Macaca fascicularis: one gene and its partners. The main gene of each other region encodes a partner of the protein of the gene in region 3 in a complex. Links are inferred from orthologs where the notes say so. Each region holds a gene or a part of one and is shown on either strand. Other genes may lie near its edges.

What was found.
Region 1: TAF10 (region 3) and transcription initiation factor TFIID subunit 13 share a complex: the UniProt entries of both Homo sapiens proteins name them as parts of the TFIID basal transcription factor complex. The link is inferred for Macaca fascicularis from reciprocal best matches to the Homo sapiens genes TAF10 and TAF13.
Region 2: TAF10 (region 3) and TAF7 share a complex: the UniProt entries of both Homo sapiens proteins name them as parts of the TFIID basal transcription factor complex. The link is inferred for Macaca fascicularis from reciprocal best matches to the Homo sapiens genes TAF10 and TAF7.
Region 4: the proteins of TAF10 (region 3) and TAF8 are in contact, whole or in part, in a crystal structure (PDB 4WV4), measured with the Homo sapiens proteins. The link is inferred for Macaca fascicularis from reciprocal best matches to the Homo sapiens genes TAF10 and TAF8. Residues at the interface, in NP_006275.1 of Homo sapiens: Pro115, Leu116, Phe119, Leu120, Leu123, Tyr126, Thr127, Thr129, Ile130, Pro131, Val134, Thr135, Tyr137, Tyr138, Leu139, Ala142, Gly143, Phe144, Glu145, Ser147, Asp148, Arg150, Ile151, Leu154, Ile155, Leu157, Ala158, Ala159, Gln160, Lys161; in NP_612639.2 of Homo sapiens: Arg33, Thr36, Leu37, Val40, Ser43, Leu44, Leu45, Ala48, Gly49, Phe50, Glu51, Ser52, Ala53, Glu54, Ala56, Ser57, Thr60, Leu61, Met64, Leu65, Gln66, Tyr68, Ile69, Ser70, Ile72, Gly73, Arg74, Ala76, Lys77, Cys80.
Region 5: TAF10 (region 3) and TAF4 share a complex: the UniProt entries of both Homo sapiens proteins name them as parts of the TFIID basal transcription factor complex. The link is inferred for Macaca fascicularis from reciprocal best matches to the Homo sapiens genes TAF10 and TAF4.
Region 6: TAF10 (region 3) and TAF5 share a complex: the UniProt entries of both Homo sapiens proteins name them as parts of the TFIID basal transcription factor complex. The link is inferred for Macaca fascicularis from reciprocal best matches to the Homo sapiens genes TAF10 and TAF5.
Region 7: TAF10 (region 3) and TAF11 share a complex: the UniProt entries of both Homo sapiens proteins name them as parts of the TFIID basal transcription factor complex. The link is inferred for Macaca fascicularis from reciprocal best matches to the Homo sapiens genes TAF10 and TAF11.

What each region holds. Positions count from the first base shown.
Region 1 is NC_088375.1:125,372,443-125,376,751, reverse strand, and holds the start of transcription initiation factor TFIID subunit 13, read right to left. Parts: upstream 2,974-4,309; 5' UTR 2,912-2,973; coding exon 2,885-2,911; exon of another isoform or gene 2,711-2,884; coding exon of another isoform or gene 2,710-2,710; intron 2,123-2,709; exon of another isoform or gene 2,025-2,122; coding exon 1,946-2,024; intron 1-1,945. UniProt on the Homo sapiens protein: The TFIID basal transcription factor complex plays a major role in the initiation of RNA polymerase II (Pol II)-dependent transcription.
Region 2 is NC_088380.1:147,784,418-147,788,862, reverse strand, and holds TAF7 (transcription initiation factor TFIID subunit 7), read left to right. Parts: upstream 1-1,515; 5' UTR 1,516-2,246; coding exon 2,247-3,296; 3' UTR 3,297-3,802; downstream 3,803-4,445. UniProt on the Homo sapiens protein: The TFIID basal transcription factor complex plays a major role in the initiation of RNA polymerase II (Pol II)-dependent transcription.
Region 3 is NC_088388.1:59,466,743-59,470,236, reverse strand, and holds TAF10 (transcription initiation factor TFIID subunit 10), read right to left. Parts: upstream 2,034-3,494; 5' UTR 2,009-2,033; coding exon 1,762-2,008; intron 1,639-1,761; coding exon 1,484-1,638; intron 1,269-1,483; coding exon 1,204-1,268; intron 1,120-1,203; coding exon 1,005-1,119; intron 828-1,004; coding exon 738-827; 3' UTR 658-737; downstream 1-657. Other genes in the region: scaffold protein ILK, read left to right, coding at 1-94, 278-427. UniProt on the Homo sapiens protein: The TFIID basal transcription factor complex plays a major role in the initiation of RNA polymerase II (Pol II)-dependent transcription.
Region 4 is NC_088378.1:129,500,296-129,504,001, reverse strand, and holds part of TAF8 (transcription initiation factor TFIID subunit 8), read left to right. Parts: intron 1-2,465; coding exon 2,466-2,564; intron 2,565-2,888; coding exon 2,889-2,951; intron 2,952-3,706. UniProt on the Homo sapiens protein: The TFIID basal transcription factor complex plays a major role in the initiation of RNA polymerase II (Pol II)-dependent transcription.
Region 5 is NC_088384.1:118,057,060-118,060,765, forward strand, and holds part of TAF4 (transcription initiation factor TFIID subunit 4), read right to left. Parts: intron 3,202-3,706; coding exon 3,079-3,201; intron 1,658-3,078; coding exon 1,568-1,657; intron 788-1,567; coding exon 539-787; intron 1-538. UniProt on the Homo sapiens protein: The TFIID basal transcription factor complex plays a major role in the initiation of RNA polymerase II (Pol II)-dependent transcription.
Region 6 is NC_088383.1:112,411,842-112,415,547, reverse strand, and holds part of TAF5 (transcription initiation factor TFIID subunit 5), read right to left. Parts: intron 424-3,706; coding exon 186-423; intron 1-185. UniProt on the Homo sapiens protein: The TFIID basal transcription factor complex plays a major role in the initiation of RNA polymerase II (Pol II)-dependent transcription.
Region 7 is NC_088378.1:136,805,270-136,809,647, forward strand, and holds the start of TAF11 (transcription initiation factor TFIID subunit 11), read left to right. Parts: upstream 1-1,520; 5' UTR 1,521-1,605; coding exon 1,606-1,776; intron 1,777-4,378. Other genes in the region: ANKS1A (ankyrin repeat and SAM domain-containing protein 1A), read right to left, coding at 1-154. UniProt on the Homo sapiens protein: The TFIID basal transcription factor complex plays a major role in the initiation of RNA polymerase II (Pol II)-dependent transcription.

The DNA of each region.
Region 1 (4,309 bases), on a different chromosome or scaffold from region 3:
CTCTGGGATGCTCTGGTACAAGGATCCCATTCTTATGCTGATATAATAAGTAAAACCACATAATGGTATAAGGAGCATCAGAGAAATGAAATAAGAAATGTTCAGCTTTAGTGAGGAAACGAAATATGGAAAAGGATTTGGATGGTTAAAAAATAAGAGTGTCTGGCTGGATGTGGTGGCTCATGCCTGTAACCCCAGCAGTTTGGGAGGCTGAGGCAGGAGGATCACTTGAGGGTAGGAGTTTGAGACCAGCCTGGCCAACATGGTGTAACTAGTCTCTACTGAAAATACAAAAATTAGCTGGGTATGGCTGGTCATGGTGGCTCAGGCCTGTAATCCCAGCACTTTGGGAGGCCGAGTTAGGCAGATCATCTGGGTCATGAGTTTGAGACCACCCTGGCTGACATGGGGAAACCCGTTTCTACTAAAAATACAAAAAATTAGCTGGGGCTGGTGGCGAGACAGGGTCTCACTCTTCTATCACTGGGGCTAGAGTACAGTGGCATGATCACAGCTCACTGCAACCTTGAACTCCTGGGCACAAGTGATCCTCCCACCTCAGCCTCCTGAATAGCTGGGGCTATAGGTACACGCCACCATGCCCAGTTAATTGCAAAAAAAAAAAAAAGATATACTGACCCTGTAGTTTCAAGGGCATTTGGGAACTGCTCACATATAACCCCGCCTAAATAAACCATATTCATAAATCTGTGTTGCCTCATCTCTCAATACTTAGATATAACTTTACATAAAGGACCCAGGACTGGAGATGGAGAGCACATTCTCATGCTGTGTTCCAGGGCTTGGCCTGTACCATCAGTAGTAGCAGCAGCTCTCCCTTCCTCTTGTTGCCAAAAAGGGTCAAAAGCATCTACTGAGGGGGTAGGATGCAGAATCAATACATTATAATCTCCATGTCATTATTTATTTTGCTTATTTATTTATTTATTTTGGACACAGGGTCTGGTTCCGTCACCAAGGCTGGAGTGCAGTGGCGCAATCTGGGTTTACTGCAACCTCCACCTCCTGGGCCCAAGCCATCCTCTCACCTCAGCCTCCAGAGTAGCTGGAACTACAGGGGCGTGCCACCATGCCCTACTAATTTTTGTATTTTTTGTAGAGAGAGGGTTTCACTATGTCGCCCAGACTGGTCTTGACCTCCTGGGCTCAAGCGATCTGCTTGCCTTGACCTCCCAAAGTGCTGGGATTACAGACGTGAGCCACTGCATCTAGCCTCCATGTCACTCTAATGTCTTACACTATTCACCACCTTCTTCTTTTTTTTTGAGACAGAGTCTTGCTGTGTTACCCAGGCTGGAGTGCAGTGGCATAATCTTGGCTCACTGCAACTTCTCCCTCCTGAGTTCAAGCGAGCACGTCTGGCTAATTTTTGTATTTTTAGTAGAGATGGGGTTTCATCACATTGGCCAGGCTGGTCTCAAACTCCTGACCTCCAGTGATCCACCTGCCTCAGCCTCCCAAAGTGCTCGGATTACAGGCGTGAGCCACTACACCCAGCTGTTCACCACCTTCTTACTTTGTTCATAGCCTTAGTCCAAAGCCCAAGCCCCAACTCACTTGCTACTCTCCCTCAACACCTGGTGCAGGATCCATTAGTATCTGTGGCTTACAGTCAAAGAAGCCTCTCTTTCTACTGCTGCAAAGGCAAGAGGAAAACTAATGGAGGTATGTTCTTCTGCCCTAAATTAAAACACGAACTACATTTGCTCACCTAAAAAGCAATTTATACACAGACACACATACACACACATATAACTGGGGTTAGGATTGGTACTATCTGATTCAAAAGCTAAACAGAATTTGATAGGCTAGTCTGAGAATATTGTCACTACAGGGAAACATTCAAAGCAATAAATGTACTTGGAAAGGATATGTCCAAAAGTTTTCATCATCTATAACAAAATCATTGTCAAATACTACTTACATTCTTTAGAAAAAAGCCTCTTTCTTTTACCCTGTCCACCTTCTGCACCTCCTCCAATTTCTTCATTTTCTTCCTCAAACTAGAAAACGTATATATAGAAATGTCAAATAATTGCCTTGCATTTGATATTTTAATAATAACAATGTTTTTTCCTTTTCAACAGATAGGCCAGAAAGCCTAAAGGAAGCAGAAAAAAAAAAAAAAAAAAAAAAAAAAAACACAAAACCTTAGCACGTAAGCAGCCTAGGTATCGAGTCCAATTTCCAACTCATCCAAAAATGGCTTCTACAATGTTCCTAACAAATAATCCTACTGCTTCTACGTGTAAGAGTTACAATGACCATAGGTTTTATTTTTAAACAACTAAGGTGGCCTATTGCTACTGTTAAACAGTTGATACTGAATCAAAGTCTACCTTTGTAGACTTTCAATTAAGCAAAACTAATATTTACTAAGCATTTGCATATACGGTGCTAAAAACGTTCCTTAAGTAAGCCCGTAACCCTATTTTGTAACAAGAAAACTGATTGTCAAAGTTAAATAACTTGCTTAGAGAGAATGGAGATTTTGAAATCCAGGCTGTCTGACTTTCAATGCATTCTTTTCCCATTACTTCACAGTAAGTACAGTTTTGTTAACAATTGAACTGTTGGTTCATAGTGAGCGCTAATAGATGTTAGTTTTGACGTCTGATGATTCTGTAAGTGTTTCAGTGTCTGGCAAATAAAGATCAAAATCAAGGGGAAAGGGGTCACAAAACCTACTCTTTCTTCATGTCCTTCCCCACTTTCTAAAATGATCAATCCTTAGGGAGTGAAGTCCCCGAATTCTGTCGGCTGAATTGACTAAGGCAAGCAGATCCGATCCTGAACTCTGCCTCCGCTACTGAGCCCGAAGGAGTGAAGAAAAGAGAGGTTCTGGACACAGACGGTCACTCACGGTGGGGTCTTCTTCCTCATCTGCCATCCCACTAGCCCGCCAACCCACAGCGCCCCGCCGGCTGGTTCTCAGCGGGTTACGCTACTTCCGTCGCCTCACTTCCGGTGACGGGCGGGGCTGGAGCTGGGCCTAGCTGACTGAGGCCTGCGGAAGGACGGTGGTGCTTTCCGGCCTAGCGGCGGAAATGCGACAGTCTTTAGCGGAGGAGGCCGGAGCTCCTCCCTGTAACACTGAAGGAATTGAAAACTAACAAAGAAAAGGAAATCACGGGCTCCGTGGGATGTATCTCGTTGTCACCCTAAATTTGCTACTGCGCATTGAATCACGCCTTCCTGTTTGGGGACTGCGAAGCTATGGATCGTAGGAGGGCTAGCCAGCGGTCCTTTATCTGACATAAATGCTTTTAAATCATTTTAAAGAGTTGTGGTTCCACTGTTTCTAAGCACTATGTTAATTACTGGGGATACTGTGCTTCACCACAAATTTCCAAGAGATGGTGTCCCAAAACTAAGCATTTAAAATTTTGTGAAGGTTTGTTTTTGTGTGTGTGTGTTTTTTTTTTTTTTTTTTTTTTTTGAGACCAAGTCTCACTCTGTCGCCCAGGCTGGAGTGTGCGGTGGCGAAATCCCGGCCCACTGCAACGTCCGCCTATCGGGTTCAAGCGATTCTTCTGCCTCAGCCTCCCGAGTAGCTGGGATTACAGGCGTGCACCACCATGCCCGGCCTCATTTTTGGTTTTTTTTTTTTTTTTTTGAGACGCAGCCTCACTGTCCCCCAGGCTGGAGTGAAGTGGCACAATCCGGGTTCACTGCAGCTTAGACCTGCTGGGCTCAAGCCATCCTCCCACCTCAGCCTCCAAGTAGCTGGGATTACAGGCACACACCACCTATGCTCGGCTAATTTTTGTATTTTTAGTAGATATGGGGTTTCGCCACATCACCCAGGCTGGTCTGGAACTCTTGATCTCAAGCGATCTGCCCCCCTCGGCCTCCCAAAGTGCTGGGATTACAAGTGTGAGCCACCGTGTCCATTGGGGAAGGCTTTTGGTCGGAACAATGGTTGGGAAAACCACAGGCATTGGAAGGCCAGAGCTAGGGATATAAAATATGTGTCCTACAGTGTAACAGATGATGCTACATAAAGAAAATCCCGCAATACACACGATTTCTGAATGTCCTGCTGAACATTCGGTGAGTGAAAAGTAGTTATGTGAGGCTTGAACCTATCTTTGTTAATAAACACAAAGCGGCTGGGCGCGGTGGCTCAAGCCTGTAATCCCAGCACTTTGGGAGGCCGAGACGGGTGGATCACGAGGTCAGGAGATCGAGACCATCCTGGATAACACGGTGAAACCCCGTCTCTACTAAGAAATACAAAAAACTAGCCGGGCGAGGTGGCGGGCGCCTGTAGTCCCAGCTACTCGGG
Region 2 (4,445 bases), on a different chromosome or scaffold from region 3:
GACAAAGAATGTATTTTCTCTCACAAATCACTACAGCATTTAAGACTATGATCTTTCTAGATAGATCAATTTTTTCATTCAATTAGCAAATATTTTTTGTGTATCTCCCATGTTCTGGTACTAGGCACTGGGACACAATGACCAGGATAGAAAAAGATCACTATCATGGAGCTTTCAATCATACAGGAATAAAGTGAATTTTGGAAATGTTAATTACATCTTAAGAGAATTCTCTTAAATTTAGGGGCAATTGGTAATATTTTAGAGGATAGAAATTAAATGTTAATGGCCTTGATGCTCTACCAGATATTTTAAAAATAAATGGAAATAAATAGAAATAAGTACCAACTGTTACCCAGTTATGTCAAAATACTAAAAATATGTGTTGATGAATACCTGACCCTCCAAAGAAAAGACAAGCACAAAACAGCAAAATAGTAGAGGTGGAGTTAAAAAAAAAGTCAAAGTATTTAAAATTACTTGTACATGAGAAGCAGGAAACAATACTTCAATTATGTCTACTTTAACCAGATGCTCAGTCTATCAGACAATTCTGTCCAAAATGAACCTGTGCTTGCAGAAGAACACTTCCTTCTCTGCTTACATTTACATCTAAATCAAGCATATAAAAAGGAATCACCCTTGTTTCCTCAGGAGTATTACAGAACAGAAGGAAACCCAGAGGCACAATTCCCCTACAGGGAATTATATTAAACAAAATATAGACTTTGGGCCAGGCACGGTGGCTCACACCTATAATCCCAGTACTTTGGGAGGCCAAGACAGGCAAATCACCTCAGGTCAGGAGTTGGAGACCAGCCTGGCCAACATGGTGAAACCCCTTCTCTACTAAAAATACCAAACTTAGCTGGGGTAGTGGAAGGTGCCTGTAATCCCAGCTACTCAAGAGGCTGAGGCAGGAGAATCGCTTGAACCCTGGAGGTGCAGATTGCAGTGAGCCAATATTGTGCCACTACACTCAAGCCTGGGTGACAGCCTAGACTCCATTTCCAAAACAAACAAACAAACAAACAAAGAGAGGTTTAGAATTATATAGTGAGCTCCATGTCCTCCTCACTCCACTGATTTGGGTTCTTTAAAATCCATTGTATAGTAGCTACACATTCTTGTATTGGCACCAGATTGGCTAGACCCTAGGAAGCATCCGAGATGTTTCCAGAAGCAAAGACGCTTACTGCCAGGCGTCCCCCATCTCCCGGAATCACCCGGAAGTCTAGAAGCCATCCGGCCCCACAGCGATCCCTTAAAAGTGCTGGCTTAGCGGGGGACGAATCCGTGTCTTTCTTGTAACTTCCAAGCGCTAAATAGTTTGAAACCAACAGCTCTTCGAAAACACTATCATTTTCATCCTAGAAAAGCAAGTTCTCGCGAAAAGACGAGTTTCACGCTGGGCAGCGTAATTGCGCTATTGCGCCTGCGCGCGCCGGGGCTCCGCCCTTCCGGCCGGAGGGGCTGTCACTCACATCCACCTCCCGCCCCGCGTCGTGACGTAGCACTTCCGTTTTCTCTGGGCAAGCGGTCGAACGGAGGGCCGGCGAGGTGCCGGGTCTGGTTCTCCGAGCTGCGCCTCTCGGCAAGATTTCGCGTTGCCCATCCTGGGCTTTCATCAGTAATCGATAGTGGATCACTCTGCCAAGCGGCAGGAAGAATTAAGGAAACGACAAGGAGACGCTTGGCTGCCTCCCGCTTTGCTCCTTGCGGCCTCCTCTTCCCTTCGCTCCGGCCCGGTGAAACTGAACTTATAATCGTCACTGGATTGTAAGTACCCGAGGCGAAGAGAGCTCACTGAGCCCTGATGTTTTGAGTGTCTGTTCCGGGAGAGTTTGTAAATTGAGAGTATCTCTGCTGGCCTTTCTGGGCCGAAAACCGTTCCGCGGGAGCCGCCATTTGCTTTCCTGCTTCCTAGCTAGGTAGCTGTCTCCGCGTTGTCGGGCAGCGGCACCTAGAGGTTGGGACTTGGCATTGCATCTGATTTAATGAACTTAAGTCTGTGAATAAGCCTTTGTGTTAACGACTGGTATTTGGTCACAGCATATTTAGAGAAAAGACTTGGAGCTTAAATAAAAACGAAGGCAAAATAGACGCTAAGCTGCTGATCTACAGAGAACTTCTTGTAATTAAAATATTTCAATTCATAGCGAACTGGTGTTTTAAATTATTGCAGTAGCTGGAACTTTTTACGGTAACCATCATTTATTGGAGAAGTGAGTCACAAAGAAATAAAAATGAGTAAAAGCAAAGATGATGCTCCTCACGAACTGGAGAGCCAGTTTATCTTACGTCTGCCTCCAGAATATGCCTCTACTGTGAGAAGAGCAGTACAGTCTGGTCATGTCAACCTCAAGGACAGACTGACAATTGAGTTACATCCTGATGGGCGTCATGGAATCGTCAGAGTGGACCGTGTTCCATTGGCCTCAAAATTGGTAGACCTGCCCTGTGTTATGGAAAGCTTGAAAACCATTGATAAGAAAACCTTTTACAAGACAGCTGATATCTGTCAGATGCTTGTATCCACAGTTGATGGTGATCTCTATCCACCTGTGGAGGAGCCAGTTGCTAGCACTGATCCTAAAGCAAGCAAGAAAAAGGATAAGGACAAAGAGAAAAAGTTTATCTGGAACCACGGAATTACTCTGCCTCTGAAGAATGTCAGGAAGAGAAGGTTCCGGAAGACAGCAAAGAAGAAATATATTGAATCTCCAGATGTGGAAAAAGAAGTGAAACGATTGCTGAGTACAGATGCTGAAGCTGTTAGTACTCGGTGGGAAATAATTGCTGAAGATGAAACAAAGGAGGCAGAAAATCAAGGCCTGGATATCTCTTCTCCAGGAATGTCTGGTCACAGGCAGGGCCATGACTCATTAGAACATGATGAGCTTCGGGAGATATTCAATGACCTCAGCAGCAGCAGTGAGGATGAAGATGAGACCCAGCATCAAGATGAAGAAGATATAAACATCATTGACACTGAGGAAGATCTGGAGAGACAACTACAGGACAAGCTAAATGAATCAGATGAACAGCACCAGGAAAATGAGGGAACCAATCAGCTGGTTATGGGAATTCAGAAGCAGATTGACAACATGAAAGGCAAGCTCCAAGAGACCCAGGACAGGGCAAAACGACAAGAGGATCTCATCATGAAAGTGGAAAATCTGGCTCTCAAGAACAGATTTCAGGCTGTACTGGATGAGCTCAAACAAAAGGAAGACCGAGAAAAGGAGCAACTCAGCTCTTTGCAAGAAGAGCTAGAATCACTCCTAGAGAAGTAAAAAGAACTGATTCTTAATTTCAGTGTTCAGACTGATCAGCATTAGAAAATTCTTGGCTTTATTACTTGTACTGGATATTAACACCTTGCACTTCCTAGTCCCTCTAATGCTGTGTGTTCTGTTAAGTTCTTTCATTTGTTTATAGTTTTGTTTTTCAGCAAATTTACATTGTTTTGCTAGGTGTTCATCCTATAAGAAGCAGGATTGTATAGGCAGAAAAATGATAGTAGGAAAGTTGCAGGATTAGTGGAATGTATGGTTCAACCTTAATTATAGCTCCACTGCAGGACTTTGCTGTTTCTCCATTTTCTAGAAGCTGCTGTTGCTGCCTTATGATGACATGAGATCAATAAGAAGAACCTAGTCTAGAGACAGTGATGCTAGTTTGCATATGTTTTCCCATGCAATAGCTGTTTTCCCAGTTACTCAAAGCAGTTTCCCATATGTAGAGATGCAAATTTTATTAAGTTGTTTACAATACAATAAATAAAAGCATCTGTTTTTCACTTTGTAGTGTATCTTGTTCTTTCATGGTTGGTGGGAGTCAGGTCCCTTTTGAGGTGGTTTTGTGGTGGAGTTTAGTGACTAAGAAATTTGATCCAGTTCTGCAGGTAGAGGCAGTTTGGTTTATGAAAAAAAGCAACACAGCAGGGGTAAAGAAATTGGGAATTGTCATGTTTGCATCATATTAAGATTCCAGTTCTATCTGATCTACTTGAAAGCTGGGAAACATTAGATACAGAGCTTTCTTAAACTACCCTAATTTTTGTAGATGAAGGCCTTCGTGCCTTTTTTAAAAAGCTTACTAAATCTACCTGCACAAAATGTTGGAAACAAAGCAGTGGTTATCAAGTGCAGTCCAATGAATCATTCCATTGGTTTGGATTAAGATTTTATTTCTATTTTTCTTCAGTTGAGTTCTTATAATTAATAATCTGAGAACTGAGGTCATTTATCAATGTCATTTCATCAAAATTGCTCATAAAGTAAGTCGGTACCAAATTTCTCATGCTTTAAAGATAATCTAATGCCTCACAACATGAGCTATTTTTGAAAAATCAGTTACTGATAAAAGAGGTAGAGTTGTATGCAATTTGTTTCTGACAGGTTGGTTTATGAGAAGCTTGGGTTTGAAAATAAAGTCCTTTT
Region 3 (3,494 bases):
AGCAGACATGTGGAGTTTTGCAGTGCTTCTGTGGGAACTGGTGACACGGGAGGTACCCTTTGCTGATCTTTCCAATATGGAGATTGGAATGAAGGTGAGAGCAGAACAGCATACATTTGTGTTGGGGGAGTGGTTGGTTATGGTGAAAATAACTGTAGTGGGCCTGGGCTCCTCCCATATTTGTTCGGATATACAGTTATCCTGTCCCAGGGGCCAGTGGCTTCTCTCTACATGACAGACTCAAATTGTGAGGCTCAGTTTTTTCTTGTATTCACAGGTGGCATTGGAAGGCCTTCGGCCTACCATCCCACCAGGTATTTCCCCTCATGTGTGTAAGCTCATGAAGATCTGCATGAACGAAGACCCTGCAAAGCGACCCAAATTTGACATGATTGTGCCTATCCTGGAGAAGATGCAGGACAAGTAGGACCGGAAGGCCCTTGCCTGAACTCCAGAGGTGTCAGGACATGGTTGGGGGAATGTACTTCCCCAAAGCAGCAGACCTCTGGTTGCCTCCCCTGCCTCCAGTCATGGTACTACCCCAGCCATGGGGTCCATCCCCTTCCCCCATCCCTACCACTGTGGCCCCAAAAGGGGCGGGCTCAGAGCTTTGTCACTTGCCACATGGTGTCTCCCAACATGGGAGGGATCAGCCCCGCCTGTCACAATAAAGTTTATTATGAAAACAGGCTGGTGTGGGGACATGGGGACAGACAAGTACATTTAGGTTGGGTGGCTCAGGTGAAGTAGTGCGGCTTCTTCACATTGATGCCATACTCGCTGAGGGCAGGGGTCAAGTCCTCCATGGTTAAAGTATACTTGCGGTCCTGAGGGAAGAGGGAAGAGCACCAACTGAGCACAGGAATCCCACACTTCAATCCCAGATGGGTGACCCTGAGTAAGTTTTACACCTCCCCTAGGATTCAGTTTCCCCAAAGGGGTGGCAGGATAAGCTTCCACTGTTGTGGAAGGTAATTAGTGATTCAATGAGCCTCCCCTCACACCTTGCTCTTGCTCCGGGAGCTGCCGGAGGCTGTGCCCTTCATTTTGCAGTGCTGTAGGGCATCATTGGCAATATCTGAGATGAATTTCTGGGCAGCTAGGGAGATGAGCCGAATTCTAGAGAGAAAAAACTTAGATGAGAAGGAGATGGACAACACACTGCACAAGCACCCAAAACTAACCTGCCCTGGGTTTACTCACATGCGTGGGTCTGAGGCCTCAAAGCCAGCACGGTTCAGGTAGTAACCAGTCACTGCATCTGGGATCTAAGAAATCAATTAAGAGAACTGTCAGCAGAGTGGGATGAGGGTGAGGGAAATGTCGGATAGACCTGGTTATCAGGAAGCTCACGATTTGGGTGAGCAGAGGGCAAAAACAAGAGCGACTACGGAAGCAAACATCAGAGGGTGCTGAAAAGCACGGAGATGTGGCTGAAAGTTGTGACAGCAGGCTAGGTGGCCTTGTTCGGGCGGAAGCCCACCGTAGGCGTGTAATCCTCCAGCTGCATCAAGAAGTCCACCAACGGCGTGCTGGACACCACCGGCTTCACGTCTCCGTTGGCCGCGCTCGGCAGTACGTAAATCCCGTTAGACATGGCCCCTTCTGGGGGCGCCGCGCCACCCGCCGACACCGGAGCTGGAGGAGAACCAGCAAAATGAGACACAGAGGTGGGAGGCGCAGGGCCCCAGCGAGGTCTGTCTATACCCGCTGCCCTCACCCGCCGCTGGGCCCAGTCCCAGACGCTTCCCTCGCCCTCACCCGTCAGGCCCTCACCCGCCCCACGCCGCTCAGCTGGCTCCCCGGCCCGCGCCGCCAAGGGTCCCGTGCCCCCAGCAGCTGCTCCAGCCCCAGGCCCCCCTGCTGTCCCCGCGGGGCTGGCCTTGTTCTCCGCAGCGGTGCTGGCGGGCAGCGCTGCGGGAGCCGAGACCGGGGGTGCCGGGCCCGGGGCCGAGGCGGCGGAAGCCGGCGCCGCCTCGGGGTCCGCGCCGGAGCCGCTGCAGCTCATCGGGCCGGTGGGAGAGGCGGCGAACAGAGCCGCTTCCGCTTCCGCTCGCGCCGCGCACACCCCGGGGTGACGTCACGCGCCCTCGACTCGCCCCGCCTGTCACTGTTAGTGCTCTCCAGCCCGCTCCCCGCCTCCTCTGGTAGTGGGTCTGCGGGTTAGAGGAAATAGGCTGAAGGGCGGAGACCAAGCCTTGGCGAACTGCGCTGCCGTCGCCATTCCGCCCTAGCCTCTGCGGTGCTCGGTGGCGATTCCGTCGAGACTAGAAGCAGCGTGCGTCCGGGACTCTTCCGCCGCTCTGGGACACCTCATTCTGTCTGACGCTCAAGACCTTGCTTCGAGGTTTATGGGCCCTACATCCCTCGACTGCGGATTGCCTGCCTGTCTGCATCCTTTCAAGTTCCCTTATTCAGCCTTGTAAGGATTCATAGTGGATTTGGAAAGCCCCCCGCCCTTCTCCACCAACTGCCCCGAGAGGTGGGGGCAGCAGTGGGGCGGCCCACAGTGCTGCTGTAGAAGGAGGAGGGGTTTCAGCCTAAGTCGACAACGTATGCAAAAATCACAACGAGTGAAAGGCGTGAGATTTTCAATGTAGCAGATATTTAATTCTTATTTGCCAACTCCTGAGCTAGGACCTGGGAATACAAAGTTAAATAGAACACGATTCTAGTCCTCTAGGCACCAACGGTCTTGGAAAGGAAGCCAGACAAGTAAAGTGGCTATTTCAATACTATGTGGTCGTTACAATACTAGAGGTAGACACAGGGGTCGCAGTGCAAGGGAGGAAGGGCATTAACATCTGCCACCTACTTCCAGGTGCCAAGTACTCTTATCAACATTATTCCACTTTATTCCCTGGTGATTATGAAAGGCAGGTAATATTCCCACTTAACAGACGAGGAAACAGCCTCAGGGAGATAAACTTGCTTGACCCAGTCTCTCTCCCAGTCCATATCAGAACCAAGATTCAAACAGGTTTTGTTTAGAAAATCTAGGATTTTTCAGCCATAGCAAAATGAAGTAGCCTCAGGGAATCAAAACATTCACGAGAGAAGGTGACTTCTGAGCTGAATCTTGTAAGAATTCTGGAAATTAACCAGGCAGTTTGTATCAGGGGTAGTATTAAGGGGACAGAACAGCTTGAGCAAGAGTGAGAGTTCCTTGGGGTTTGGGGAGGGAGGAGGAAAAATGATTTGTTACTTAGGAACAAATAGCAACGAAGGTTTGTGAGCTATGATTGGGGGAAGAAAATAAAAAGCCTGAACTCTATCCAGTAATCCTTGAAGGGTTTTCATCCAAGTGGCCTGATGGGATTTGCATTTTACTCTGGAAGATGATTTGGGGATTGGCCGGAAGTAAGGACGCTGTACTTTTCAAGAGAATGTAGCCCTAAACTAATGTAGTAGCAGTGGGGATATAAGTGGATAAGTTCTAGATATACTTGGGAAATATCATTGGAAGGACTTGTGGACTGATAAAGATATTTAAG
Region 4 (3,706 bases), on a different chromosome or scaffold from region 3:
GATGGTCTCGATCTCCTGGCCTTGTGATCCACCTGTCTCGGCCTCCCAAAGTGCTGGGATTACAGGCTTGAGCCACTGCGCCTGGCCAGAATCTCTTTTTATTAATAAACATTGAGGACCCCAAATAGCTTTTGTATATGTGTATTTGCCACGTTAGAAAAAACATTTTGGGACTGGGCGTGGTGGCTCACGCCTGTAATCCCAGCACTTTGGGAGGTTGAGGTGGGTGTATCGCCTGAGGTCAAGAGTTTTGAGACCAGCCTGGCCAACATAGTGAAACCCTGTCTCTACTAAAAATACAAAAAATTAGCTGGGTGTGGTGGCGGGCACCTGTAATTCCAGCTACTCTGGAGGCTGAGGCGGGAGAATTGCTTGAACCCAGGAGGTGGAGGTTGCATTGAGCCAAGATCACACCATTGTACTCCAGCCTGGGCAACAAGAGCGAAACTCCATCTCAAAAAAAAAAAAAAAGAAGAAGAAAAAGGAAATTTCGAAAATAAGAATGTACGATTACATATTCTGTTATTCATCAGACCCATGATGTCATCAAAAGTCACATAGACTCAGGAAAACTACCTGAGAGAATGAGAGTGAAAAAGTCAAATAATGACTTAATTTTATCATGAAAATAGTTTTGACCTGTGTGGACTTTAGAACAGATTTTGGGGCCTACCACAGGTTCCACTACTTTTTGAACTTTGTCCTAAAGGAATGAATTAATAGTTCCCAAGAGATAAGAATGCAGTTCTTGGAACAGTCTTGGAATTTAGAGTTTAAAAGTCATGTATAGAGGCTGGTGTTAAGTGACTTGCTCAGGGTAGCAGGGGAATTGGTGGTAGGTCCCCTGTTAGACACCCTTCCCTGTCAAGCACTACTTGCTTTTATTTTCTGAGCCACTTAAAATCTGAGCCAACATTTTATCCCTAGAGCAGGAGTTCTTTACCTTTTGAGGCCCCTTTATACATTTGATAAAATCTGTGGACCCATTCCCCAAAAAATGCTTTTTTTGTGTGTAAAATTCAGCACAGCTTCAGAGTATTCGTGAAACCTCCCGTCCGCCTTGGAAGCTCATTCACAGAACCGAGCTTCAAAACTCCATCTTAGAAACCTTCCCCCCCTTTTCCCCAAAGGACTTTAGTGTGACTCTTAAATAGAGGTTCAGCTTCAGGCAGAAGAAACAAAAATTGCCCATCAGAGAATAAGACCGTTTTGTGTGTGTGGTGGTGAGATACACATAACCAAATTTATCATTTTAACCATTTTTAAGTGTACAATTCAGTGGTATTAAGTATATTCACAATGTTGTGCAACCATTCACAGTATTTCCAGAACTTTTTCATCATTCTCAACAGAAACTCTGTAAACATAAACAGTAATTCCTCATTCTCCCTCCCCCTCCATTCCCTGGTAACTTCTAATCTACTTTCCATCTCTGGATACCTCATGTAAGTAGAATCTTTATTTGTCTTTTTGTGTCTGCCTTATTTCACTTAACATAATGTTTTCTTTTCTTTTCTTTTCTTTTCTTTTTTTTGAGATGCAGTCTCGCTCTGTGTCCCAGGCTGGAGTGCAGTGGTGCAATCTCGGCTCTCTGCAACCACTTCTACCTCCCAGGTTCAAGCGATTCTCAGCCTCCTGAGTAGCTGGGATTATAGGCGTGTGCCACCTCACCTGGCTAATTTTTTATATTTTTGGTAGAGATGGGGTTTTACCATGTTGGCCAGGCTGGTCTCGAACTCCTGACCTCAAGTGATCCACCTGCCTCAGCCTCCCAAGTGCTGGGATTACAGGCATAAGCCACCACACCTGGCCCTAGCATAATGTTTTCTATTTTTTTCTTTTTCTTTTTTTCTTTTTTTTTTTAAGGAGTTCTCGCTCTGTCGCCCAGGCTGGAGTGCAGTGGCGCAATCTCTGCTCACTGCCACCTCCCCCTCCCGGGTTCAAGCTATTTCTCATGTCTCAGCCTCCCGAGTGGCTAGGATTACAGGCACCTACCACCACCCGTGGCTAATTTTTGTATTTTTAGTAGAGATGGGGTTTCGCCATGTTGGTCAGATTGGTCTCAAACTCCTGACCTCAGGTAATCCACCCGCCTCGGCCTCCCAAAGTGCTGGGATTACAGGCCTGAGCCACCACACCTGGCCTAGCATAATGTTTTCAAAGTTCATCTATGCTATAACATTACCAGAATTTCCTTCTTTTAAAGGCTGGATAATATTCCATTGTGTGTATATAGCACATTTTGTTTGTTCATTCACCTGTTAATGGACATTGGGTTGTTTCTACCTTTTGGCTATAGTGAATCATGCTGCTGTGAACATTGGTGTACTAGTAGCTGTTTGAATCCCTGCTTTCAATTCATTTGGGTATATACCTAGCAGTGGAATTGTTGGCTTATCTGGTAATTCTATGTTTAGCTTTCTGAGGAACCGAGAATAAGTTTTATGCCTTTAATCCCCTCTTAGACATTTCAGAAATTGGGAGAAGTGCCAAGTCTTACTGTGAGCACACAGCCAGGACCCAGCCCACACTGTCAGATATCGTGGTCACACTTGTTGAGATGGGTGAGTATACCTTCAGTTTCCAGTTCTTCCGTGCAACTGGAGAGAGAAGTTCCTAGGAGTCAGGCATGTCTGCTAAGTGTTCTTCGTTTCCCTCATGGTTCTCTTGATTTGCTTTGAGCTTGAGAGAGTTATCAAGAGAGATTCCTCTGAACACATCTAAGAGGCCTCATAATTCCCTGTTGGGGAATTCTGCCAGAGCTGCTTTTTGCGTGGCTGCAAGGTCATTGAGTTGAGAGTTTAAGCCATTTGTCCATAATACTACTATTCTTTCTGTATTCAATATCCAGTGGTCTGGGCAGTGATTTTTGTTTTCCTGTCTCTTAGGTTTCAATGTGGACACTCTCCCTGCCTATGCAAAACGGTCTCAGAGGATGGTCATCACTGCTCGTAAGTGACTTTGAACTGAGGTACCTAGCAATTTATCAATTAATGCTTGTGGAATGAAGTAATTGACTATGGTAGGGATTGGATTAGTAGCTACTTCCTTGTTGCAGGCTCTCTTCCAATGTTTGGGGCTACCTACAATATAATCTTTATTTGGGCTAGTGGGATTAGCATGTGAAATTCAGTCACCAAAAGGTAAACCACCTTTGAGATATTGCTGTGTTTCTTGTGCTCTAGCCCCAGAAGGGCAAATGATGCTGCTTGGAAAAATGAAAGTTCTTGTTCTCCTTAGATTAAGGGTTGGTACATTGTGGACTATGGGCCAAACGCAGCCTGCCTCCTGTTTTTGTAAATAAAGTCTTATCAGAATGCACCCATATTTACTTATTATCTGTGGCTGTTTTCATGCTATATTAGCATAGTTTAGTTGTGGTAGAGACTGTACCACATGCAGAACCTAAAGTATTTATTATATGGCCCTTTACACAAAGTTTGATGACCTCTACTTTAAGTAAAACTGGGTGCCATAAGCTGAGTGGCGAGTAACCAGTTTGGGCTTGTAGGACCTGGAGAGAATTAACTGGATTTTTTTCTTTTCTTTTTTTTTTTGAGATGGAGTCTCGCTTTGCTGCCCAGACTGGAGTGCAGTGGCACAATCTCGGCTGACTACTGCAACCTCTGTCTCCCAGGTTCAAGCTATTCTGCCTCAGCCTCCCAAGTAGCTGGGATTACAGGTGCCCGCCACCACACCCGGCTAA
Region 5 (3,706 bases), on a different chromosome or scaffold from region 3:
ACGTCCTTTCTCTAGCTCCAGAGCAAACGTCGTGACTACAAAACCAAGAAAGCCAGATCCACATTGCACATACGTGAACCGCTACGAGCAGCCGCAGCTTTGCCTCCCGGGACCCACCTAAATCCACCCTGCGCTGTGAGCTGCTACCGTCTCCAGTCTCCTGCCCACCTGTCCCACGCGGGTGCCCGTGTCTTACGCTTGGACCGCTGCTCCTAACCCAAGAGAACATCTATCTACAAGATCCTCTAAAAACACACTGCATTCGTTTACACCAGTAACATCCCTAGACAAGACAAGGCGGGGATGTGCCAGTGGTTCAAAGCCAATTCAACTATTTCATTTTACTGAGACAAAACACAAAATCCCAGGGCCTCAACCCTGATTTCTATTTTAACTAAGGTAATGCCTAAGCTTCCTCTAGCAGGAGCCTTCCTGCATGCTTGGAAAAGGTTTCTGAACCATGGCCAATTTATCTAAGAAGCTGGAGGGAGCAGAGGCACGGTGGGCTGTGTGGACCAGTAAGGTGCCCCTTCCATACCAGCGGTGTGGGTTGCCCCTGCTTGCCGACGCCGACCTGTGTGGGCTGCGTGAGGCTGAGCACAGGGGGCTGGAGGGCACTGGTCACGGTGGCCGCCGTCTTCCCGGCCGTGCGCTGGACTGAGCTACTCAGCACCACAGCCGTGAGCGCAGTGGTGGCCTGCGAGGCGGGCGGTGGCGGCTGCTGCTGGCTCTGCTGGATGAAGGCCGCGGAGTCGGGAGTCAGCTGTCTCAAGGCGGGTAAGCTCCTCTGGGTGGAAAGACAGACACGAGGGGTCAGGGGGTTGCTCATGCGTCAGTTTTCCTTGCTTAAAAATTCAGAAATATCAACTTTTACAGAAAATTTTTGAGTTAAGACGGATGTTGGCCCTCACAGCAGCACGTCTGGATGTCAGGGGCCAGGACCCCATCCCGCCCTCCCACTAGGCGGGATTATTCCTGATAGCAAATGTCCAAAATGTGTTTAAGAAAACAAACAAAAAGAGCCATATTTTTAAAATAGTTTTTAAAATATGTTAACATCACGGGAAGAGAAGATTCTGAATGTTCCCAACACATGGAAATAAGTATTCAAAGGGATAGACCCCACATACCCTGATTCTATGAATGTAACAAAACATTACATGCACCTCATAAATATGTACAAATATATGTATTAAATTTTAAAATGTGCTCATACCAATGATTATCCAACAGACAGCCTGACACTGTTAACACCCTTGGTCCTATCCAGTTTTGCAAACACCACCCCAATTCCCTGTTCCCCTCGGTTTCAGGAAGCGCGCGCCCTTCTCACCGCCTTGCGCACAACAGAACCACAACGCCACAGTGTCAGGGGAGCTCCTGCTTTACAGAAAACACCCAACATTCTGTCCCCAGGCACTGAGTCCCCGGCCCCACCCCCGCAGGGAGCACAGGCGCTGTGCACCCTCCGTGCCTGGAGCATCCTCACCCCTGTGCACTTGGAGCATCTGCGCCCCACCCCTCCCTGGCCCTGCTGCTCGTCAAGCACCCGGGCCTTCGAAATTACCTTCAGGAAAGGCACAAGGTAAGGTTGAGGTGAAGAATTAAGTTCTCGGTATAACCTGCTTGTGAAATCTTCTGCTTCGATTTTTCCATCCTTAAAAATAAAATCCATGTTGAAATTCTGGTGAATGAGATTCCACACACACTTCTGAATCCCGCATCACTCTGGTCTTGTATTTTACGGCTGATTCCGCCCCGAGTTTCACTGGACAGAGGAGATGGGAAAGTCTGCGTGCTACACCTTCCACAGATACACGTGTGACAGGCGCTCACCCTGGACACCGCAGTGCAGCCAGCTGCGGACCACGTCTCCTCCTGGGAGGGTCACCTGTCTACTTCTCGTCTTTTTCTAAGCCTCTTACTCAATGCCAGTCTTTACTCAGTGTTTACCAGGCACCTATTCGGTGTCAGGCATTTTGCTAGGAGGCAGATCAGCCTAAAAGTAACTCCATTATCAAAGCCAGCCCTGCAAGCACAGTGCTACAGGAGGTCACAGCGTGCCAGGGGCCACACAGACAGGATCCAGACAGTCAGGGCATCAGCACCTTCAGGAGCAGACAACAGCTGTGCTCACCCCTGCAAGCAGTCACGGTGCCCAGAGTCCAGTCAGATAAAAGGGAGCCCAGAGCAAGAGGGCCAGATCCTGTTTCAGAAACAGAGGCCAGCGTGGCATAAAGGTCGGGAAGACAGGCGACAAGGGTGGGAAGGCGGTGCCTGGACTGAACCCTGAGAGACTCAGGAAGACATGGTCAGGCGGGCAAGGAGAAGGCACGGAAAGACTGGCCACTCCAGATCCCCAGGCCATCCCACTGAGGCCAGCATACCCCTGAGCCATGAGACAGCCATGGGGAGAGCCAAGGTGGAGAGCCAAGAGTTCGGCCATGAGTAGAGATGTAGAGCTTGGGACTGTGGGTTAAGGAGAGGGGAGGCCGCCAGGAATCCTCCCACGTTCTGGCCAGGAGACAGAGTGCTGTTCACTGCGACAGAGGTTTCGGAAGGGGTGGGGGCAGGGGTGGGGGGACGGCTCTGCCACTGGAGCACGAATGTGCCTCAGCTGGTCTGCTCCACGGGGAGGGGGCTTCTGCTGGCTCAGGGTGCAGAATGCCTGTTCCAGCAGGGACTGCGGACACCTGGGAATTTTACAAGAGGTCACACAGGAGTGGGGAGAGGACCAGAAGGGAGCTGCCAGGGACCCTGGCCAGAGTGCAGCATGGTGGGGGCAGCCAGAGGAGAAGAGAGCCACAGACAAGGGACACAGGCACCAGAAAATGGCAAAGCCCAGGAGACCACCAGGCACCAGCCCCAGAACACCCAGCCCCAGGAAGGAGTCTCCTCAGCTAGGCCACACACACCTCTGACAGGTGTGCACCCCCCCCTCTGCCTGCAGCCTTCCAGAGGAGCTCTCCCTTTGCTGGCACAGGCCTCCCAGGCACAAGTCACAGCAGCAATAGGTGTCTCTCCTATGCAACAGGCCTTAGGGAAAAGGGAATGAAATGTCAAGTCAAGGTTTCTCACCAGTAAATTCTGCACGAGCTCTTTCACATTAGCTGCTGTCTCTGTAGACTGCTTGCCAGATGAAGCCAGTTTTATTAACGTAGATAGGAAATTTTTACATTTCTTCACGTTTTCCATAGTTTCCTGGATTAAAGTAAAAAGACATAAGTGAAAAATCTTAAAAGGCAGATTTTTGTCACAGCCTTTGGTTAATAAAATATGCGTATGTATAAGAGATACATATATTTCTCCTCTAAACTTCAAGAAAACGCACCACCTCTTGGCCTGTGGATGGGAGTGGAACCCCGGGCCATGCTCTGAGGGGCGGCCCAGCCACATCAGTCACATGGCCACCGAAGTCAGCATCTCCCACAGTCCCGCAAGGCCACGTCTAGGAATGTAGCTATGCAAATAATGAAAAAAGTGAAAAGAGACTCTGCGAAGACGCCTGCTGCAATGTCGCTGACCATAAGGACAACCTATGCCAATCCAAATGGACACAGAAGGAAACAAATAGGAGGCAGACATGAAAGCAACGAAAAGTGCGCAGCAAAGAAACCCAAGAAGTTGCCAAGTGGGGCTCACTGTTCACAGACGTCCATCACCACAGGCCAACACTGCGCGTGTACAAACGGGTGGTGCCGCCATT
Region 6 (3,706 bases), on a different chromosome or scaffold from region 3:
GAAGCCTTCTCTGACTTCTCCAGCTAGATTAAACCCCACATTTTAAGTTCTCATAGCCTTAGGTACCTCTCCTTCACAACGTACATTTTAAGTTGCAGTCTTACATTTGTGTGGTTACACATGTGAACATATATGCACGCGCACACACACTATGTGTGTATATATATATGTAAAAATGTACATACTTCTCAAAGAATGACTTTGCTTCATTCTCATGTTGATTGTAGACTAGCTCCAAGTACATGTGCACAAACAAAGGATAAAAGAGTTGGGATAACTCTGCCCGATGGCAGTCCAGGGAACATTCAATGAAGTGTTTCAGTCCACTATAGTATTCTTCATACATTGTGGGATCTCCTTGTTGGCTGTAGGCTGACAACACAGCACTGACATCTGGCTGGTCTTCCACAGCAACACTTCCAACTGTTTAAAAAACAAAAAACAACTTTTAAGAAAATGACCTATTATGACCATGTGACTATGGCTGTTTTGTTAAGGCCCAGAGGTGAGTTGTTGCTCAGATTGTTGTCTCTTTCTTCCCAACGTCTCTTCCTCAACACAATCACATAATCTTTTTTTTTTTTTTTTTCTGAGAGGGAGTCTCGCTCTGTCACCAGGATGGAGTGCAGTATGGAGATCTCAGCTCACTGCAACCTCCGCCTCGCAGGTGAGTCTCTTGCCTCAGCCTCCCAAGTAGCTGGAACTACAGGCATGCGCCATGCCCAGCTAATTTTTGCATTTTTAGTAGAGACAGGGTTTCACCATGTTTGCCAGGATGGTCTCGATCTCTTGACCTTGTGATCCTCCCACCTCGGCCTCCCAAAGTGCTGGAATTACAGGCATGAGGCACCGCACCTGGCCCACACAGTCTTTTTTTTTTTCTTTCTTTTTGAGATGGAGTTTCAACTCTTGTCGTCCAGGCTGTAATGCAATGGCACGATCTTGGCTCACTGCAACCTCCGCATCTCGGGTTCAAGCAATTCTCCTGCCTCAGCCTCCTGAGTAATCCTACCCAATACAACTCCCTACTGCTCTCAGGGTAAACAAAGATCTTCAACATGGCCCAAGAACCAGCCTATTCTTTTTTTTCAATGCCTTCACTTTAACAATAGAACCTGCCTACTGTTCCAGTCCCTAACTAATTTCCAGGGCATGGTGGTGCATGCCTGGGATTACGGGCATGCACCACTATGCCCCCTAATTTTTGTATTTTTAGTAGAGGGGGGGTTTCACCATGTTGGCCAGGCTGGTCTTGAACTCCTGACCAGAGGTGATCCACTCGCCTCCCAAAGTGCTGGGATTACAAGTATGAGCCGCCGGGCACAGTGGCTCCTGCCTGTAATCCCAGCATTTTGGGAGGCCGAGGCAGGCAGATCACGAGGTCAGGAGATCGAGGCCATCCCGGCTAACACGGTGAAACCCCATCTCTACTAAAAATACAAAAAATTAGCCGGGCATGGTAGTGGGTGCCTGTAGTCCCAGCTACTCGGGAGGCTGAGGCAGGCGAGTGGCGTGAACCCGGGAGGCGGAGGTTGCAGTGAGCCAAGATCACGCCACTGCACGCCAGCCTGGGCAACAGAGCGAGACTCCGAGACTCCATCTCAAAAAAAAAAAAAAACCAAGTATGAGCCACCGCGCCCAGCCATAATCTTTTAATAGAATTTTTTTCACTTGTTTCAGTCACCCAAACCGAAACCTGTCAGCACATCCATATCTTAAGATAACAATAACAGGCCATCACGGTGGCCCAGCATTTTGTGAGACTGAGGCAGGCGGATCACAAGCTCAGAAGTTCAAGACCAGCCTGGCCAACATGGTGAAACCCTATCTCTACTAAAAATACAAAAATTAGCTGGGTGTGATGGCGCGTGCCTGTAATCCCAGCTACTCGGGAGGCTAAGGCACGAGAATCACTTGAACCCAGGAGGCAGAGGTTGCAGTGAGCCAAGATCGCGCCACTGCACTCCAGCCTGGTGACAGAGCAAGACTCCGTCTCAAAAACAAAAAAAACAATAACAAGAAGAGTCAATATTCCTCCTGGAACTACCTTATGTTAAAGACAAATTGTATAAAAGATGGTATGTGCAAATCAAACAACTACATTAACTTTCTCTCAACGCTCTGTTCAAATGGCACCCATTACCACCAAGCCATGCACTGCAGTAACATTCCCAGTTCTCTGAGCCACCCAAGCACTGTGTAACATTCCTGTAACATATCCTATCCTGTGTTCCCTTCACATTATATACATCTCTTACCCCTTATAAAATGTAACCACTTAAGGGTGGGAAGGACCATGCCCTATTTATATCTTCAAAAGATAGTTATATGCGGCCGGGCACGGTGGCTCAAGCCTGTAATCCCAGCACTTTGGGAGGCCGAGACGGGCGGATCACGAGGTCAGGAGATCGAGACCATCCTGGCTGACACAGTGAAACCCCGTCTCTACTAAAAAATACAAAAAAACTAGCCGGGCGAGGTGGCGGGCGCCTGTAGTCCCAGCTACTTGGGAGGCTGAGGCAGGAGAATGGCGTGAACCCGGGAGGCGGAGCTTGCAGTGAGCCAAGATCACGCCACTGCACTCCAGCCTGGGCGGCAGAGCGAGACTCTGTCTCAAAAAAAAAAAAAAAAAAAAAAGATAGTTATATGCTTAAAACAATTTCCATAACCAGCATTTCAAAACAGAAAACATAACTATTTATTTGTAACACAGCACCACCTAACAATACATCTGTCAAATCAGAATTTGGTTGTTGGAAATATTTGTAAGTTGCCATTATAGTACACTTCGCTCTTTACTGCACAAATGTGATAATTTCTTCGGTTACTCTGATGGCCTCTTTTCCTCCTTACTGATTTCTCAGTTATGATCTATAATTAGGTCAAGTTTCTGAAGAGATAGGAGATTACAGCAAAATAACCAACAATATAATTCATCTTATAGTTCATTCACAAAATTCAACATTAAAAAAAGATTCCTCTCAAACACTTTTTTTTTTTTTTTTTTGTAAAGACGGAATTTTGCTCTGTTGCCCAGGCCGGAGCGCAATGGCGCTATCTTGGCTCACTGCAACTTCTGCCTCCTGGGTTAAAGTGGTTCGCCTGCCTCAGCCTCCCGAGCAGCTGGGACAACAGCACATGCCACCACGCCCAGCTAATTTTTTTGTATTTTTAGTAGAGACGGGGTTTCACCATGTTGGCCAGGCTGGTCTTGAACTCCTGACCTCAAGTGATCCACCTGCCTTGGCCTCCCAAAGTGCTGGGACTACAGGCGTGAGCCACCGCGCCCGGCCTTCAATCCACATCTGCACACATTTCTATTTATGGATTACAATGTGATATGAATACAATGCTATGTATTCATACTTCATTTCTGGCAATGCTGCAAAGATTAGGCCTCATACAGATTAATTTGGCTAAAAGCTCTGCACTGGATAATTCAATAAACATTTATTGTCAGCTCAGGATCACCTCTGAGACCTTATATTGTATATGAGTTTTACTGCATGGATTTGTGGCAACAGTTGCTGTGAGAAAGCAGTGGCTCAGGTGTCAGGAACACATACAGAGGCATAAACTTATCCATACCAAACATTTTACATATACATATTACAAGTGCCTCACGTGGCCGGGCGCGCTGGCTCACGCCTGTAATCCCAACACTTTGGGAGGCCAAGGCAGGTGGATCACGAGGTCAGGAGATCAA
Region 7 (4,378 bases), on a different chromosome or scaffold from region 3:
CGAGGCCGCCGCCGCCGCCGCCCCCAGAGCCGCCGCCGCCGCCGCCGCCGCCGCCCCCAAAGCCAGAGGAGAGCCGCTTCCCGGACAGCAGCTTCTCCACCGCCGGGAGGTGCCCGGTGCGGGCCGCCTCCAGCAGCTCCTGCTCCTTCCCCATCCCCAGGGCCGCCACCCGCTGGACCCCCCTCCCCGGGGCTGCAGCCGAGCCTGCTCGGGCTCCCAAACTTTCCGTCTCCGGGCAACGCACCCCCCAAACCGGCTGGGGACACCACCCCCCCTCCCTGCCTTTTCTCCACGAGCGCGTCACTTCCGGGATCCGGCGTCACGCGTCACCGCGCCCCCGCGCCCCGCCCCCTAGCTCACCTAGCTGGGCGGGGCTCCGCGGACCAGCGCAGGTGGATTTTGCTGTGCCGAGACAGGCCTCACGGGTTATGGGGACAGCGCCTTGTGGGTCCCCATTATATAGGTGGAAAGGGACAAACAGGCCCACCTGTACGCGCCTCCCGAAGTGCGCTCCTTCCCTAAACGTTTTGGGAGCTCCTGGGACAGGAAATACGGCAATTCGTCCAGGCAGCGCAGAAACAAAGAGATAAATATGGTAACGCGCACCTACATTTCCAAGGACATTCTTTAAGCACGCATAAATTAAATATGTAATAGGTGCTGGGACCTAGTCATACCCAGGTGAATAAAACGCCCTCCCCCTCGTATCTCTATGAGGGAAGAGAAGAAAATTTTAAAATAGAAATATCCTCACCACTTCATCCTCCCAGTACATGAACTAGTTCGTTAAAGTGAAACGTTCGAAGGAGACACCTTCCTCTCTTTAGGCTTTCCTCTTAGTTTTGGTAAGATTAACCAAAATGATAGAAAAGTGTCAGACTTGTAGAAACAAACCTCAATCTTGAATACTTGCGAACTGAAAAAAAATCATTTAATTGGATAGAAACTATGTGTGTTTTGTTCCCTGGTACTAGCACTGTTTCTAAATCGAAGTACGCAGTCAATAGTTGTGGATGAATAAATGAATTGGATAAATTCTGCTCAAGCTAGATGACTTTTTGTTGTTAAGGTGCTTGCTGAATGGAGCGGAAATGCTAGCAATTCCACGTACACACAGACCCGCGGTTTCGGGCCAGTTGAAATACACAAGGTTGAGTCTTGCCTGAAAGTTTACCAATCCCGGGTAGCCTCATTCCACGACACCGCCATACAACGGAACTGAGTTTTCTCCCGATCCCCCAACTTTACTCTGAGGGGTTAACGAAGGGATTAACTGGTATTGAATTTTTAGACAGGCGAAAAGGAAAAAGTTATTTAGTAAACAAAACTGCGCTCCTTCACAAGTGCTGGTTTCCTAGCTAGGAGGATCCATAGTCTGAGCTCTTTACGTCCAATTTTCCCGCTTCCCACTGTCGCCAAACCAAAGTTAAAATGAGTCCTCTAGTCCTCTACGCGCGCCTCAAAATGACCCCTCAGGAGAGCGGTAGGGGTGATGTCATCGCTGCGCGACGACAGGAAGTAAGATACTGTCCTGTGCAGCTCGGGGTTCCGAGCTTCTGCCTCAGACATCGCCGCGATCTCCTCTCCCCTCCAATCCTATCCGTGATGGACGATGCCCGCGAGTCGCCCTCCGACAAAGGTGGAGAGACAGGGGAGTCGGATGAGACGGCCGCTGCGTCCGGGGACCCGGGGGCTACCGACACGGATGGAATCCCAGAGGAAACTGACGGAGACGCAGATGCGGACTTGAAAGAAGCTGCAGCGGAGGAAGGCGAGGTAGGAAGAGATGTATCGATGAGGCTGAAGGAATACCCAGAGATCGTGTTACTGGGTGCTTGCCGGGCTTCTGGTTAGTCCCTCCCAAGTTACGAGAACTCGAACTCACCAGAACTCCCTCCAGATCGTTAATCTTGAGGGGGAAGAGAGCGGACGACCAAACAGAACTCCAGTGCTGGTTCCGTTCCAGAGGCTCAAGCACTGCGTTAATATTTTTAGTCTTGTCAAGGGATTAAAGCTACTTCTAAGGGAGTTTTAATAGCCTATTGGCTTTAGTGGTGAGGAAACTGGGATCCAGTGTCACACTGAGACGCAGTGCAAGAGCTAAAACCCAGGATTCGTAGCACCCCTTTCACCGCAATATGGTTCGTCTTAGATGTTAAGACAACTTTGTTTCTTTATAGGAAGGAGGGTCGATCAAACCTGTCAAAGGGAGATAGACTTTTATAAAAGTGTCGCCCGGGCTGTAGTACAATGGCGCGATCTCTGGCTCACTGCAACCTCCGCCTCCCGGGTTCACGCGATTCTCTTGCTTCAGCCTCCCAAGTAGCTGGGATTACAGGCTCACACCACCATGCCCGGCTAATTTTTGTATTTTTATTAGAGACGGGGTTTTACCATGTTGGCCAGGCTGGTCTCGAACCCCTGACCTCGTGATCCGTCCGCCTCGGCCTCCCAAAGTGCTGGGATTACAGGTGTGAGCCACAGCACCCGGTGATCAGGGACCCATCAGTTGGGTCTGGTGTTTTTATGCTACAGAGAGTTCAGCAGTGTTGCCTAGCTGAACATTGGTCAGGACCAGAAACTCATCGTTCTCTGGATTACATTTCTGGAAGTAGAATCTTGGGGTCTTAGAGCTAGAAGGGATTTAAGAGATCGTGGGGTGAACAGTAGATTAGATGGAAATAGCCTTTCAGTGTATAAAGTTGCATAAAAATATATAAAGTAAGAACTTTTAGAAAAAGAGAAAATTTGGCCGGGTGCAGTGGCTCACGCCTGTAATCTTTGGGAGGCGGAGGTGGGTGGATCGCCTGAGGTCAGGAGATCCCCAATATGGGGAAACCCTGTCTCTACTAAAAATACAAAAATTAGCTGGGCATGGTGGCAGGCGCCTGTAATCCCGGCTACTTAGGAGGCTGAGGCACAAGAATCGCTTGAACCTGGGAGGCAGAGGTTGCAGTGAGCCGAGATCGCACCACTGCACACCAGCTTGGGTGCCAGAGTGAAACTCCGTCTCGAAAAAAAGAAAAAGAGAACATTTGACAAAAGTATTTTAAGGCAGGTTTCTTTTTTTGTTTTTGTTTTTGTTTTTGAGACTGAGTACTCGCTCTGTCACCCAGGCTGGAATGTGCAGTGGCGCGATCTCGGCTCACTGCAAGCTCCTTTAAGGCAGTTTTTGTTGGTTTGTTGAGACAAGGTCTCACTCTGTCACCCAGCCTGGAGTGCAGTGGCACAGTCTCTGCCTCCTGGGCTCAAGCAACCCTCTTATCTCAGCCTCCGCAGTAACTGGGATTGCAAGCATACTGCACCACGCTCAGCTGAAGTTTTTGTATTGTTTTGTTTTGTTTTGTTTCGTTTTTGAGACGGAGTCTCGCTCTGTTGCCCAGGCTGGAGTGCAATGGCGCAATCTCGGCCTACTGCAACCTCCGCCTCCCAGGCTCAAGTGATTCTCCTGCCTCAGCCTCCCCAGTAACTGGGATTACAGGCACGTGCCACTGTGCCCAGCTAATTTTTGTATTTTTAGTAGAGCCAAGGTTTCACCAAGTTGCGCAGGCTGGTCTTGAACTCCTGACGTCATGATCCATCTGCCTCAGCCTCCCAAAGTTCTGGGATTATAGGCATGAGCCACCGCACCTGGCCAGCTAAAGGTTTTTTAAATATTGTTTTGGTAGAGACAAGGTCTCATTATATTGCCCAGTCTGGTCTCCAACTCACTGGGCTGAAGTAATCCTTCCGCCTCAGCCTCCCAAAGTGCTAAGATTACAGGTGGGAGCCACCATGCCTGGCCAAGAAGGAAACTTTAAAACAGGTGTCAAGGACAGCAAGGATTTGAATAATTAGCTTGGTACACTAGAGAGCTCACTACATATATAAATTTGCACCGAACAGAGGATAAAATTATGTTGTTTCTGAAACACTTTTAAAAATCAATCATGTACTAGACCATGAAGAAAAATATGAATTCTTAAAAGTAGATATCATAACAGGCCACATCTTGTTAATGCAATGCATTAAACTTGAAATTAACTACAAAAAGCTTCTCCCCCACCAAAAAAGAACCCCCTGGAAATTTTAAACTATTTTTTAAATAGCCTTTAGACTAAAGAAATTAACAGAACACTTTATCAAATGATATGGGATTTGGCCAAAGCTTTATTTAAAGAAAAATGTATAGCCTTACATATTTTTATTAACAACCAGAAGATACTGCAAATAAGCACCTGACTCAAGAGACCAGATAAAGGGCCTAGTGGAGTAGGTCACACCTACAGACCTAGCTACCTGGCAGGCTGACACGGGAGGATCACTTGAGGCTGCAGTGAGCTATGATCCAGCCTGGGCAACAGAGTGAGTCTGGGGAAAAAACAAACAAACAAACAAA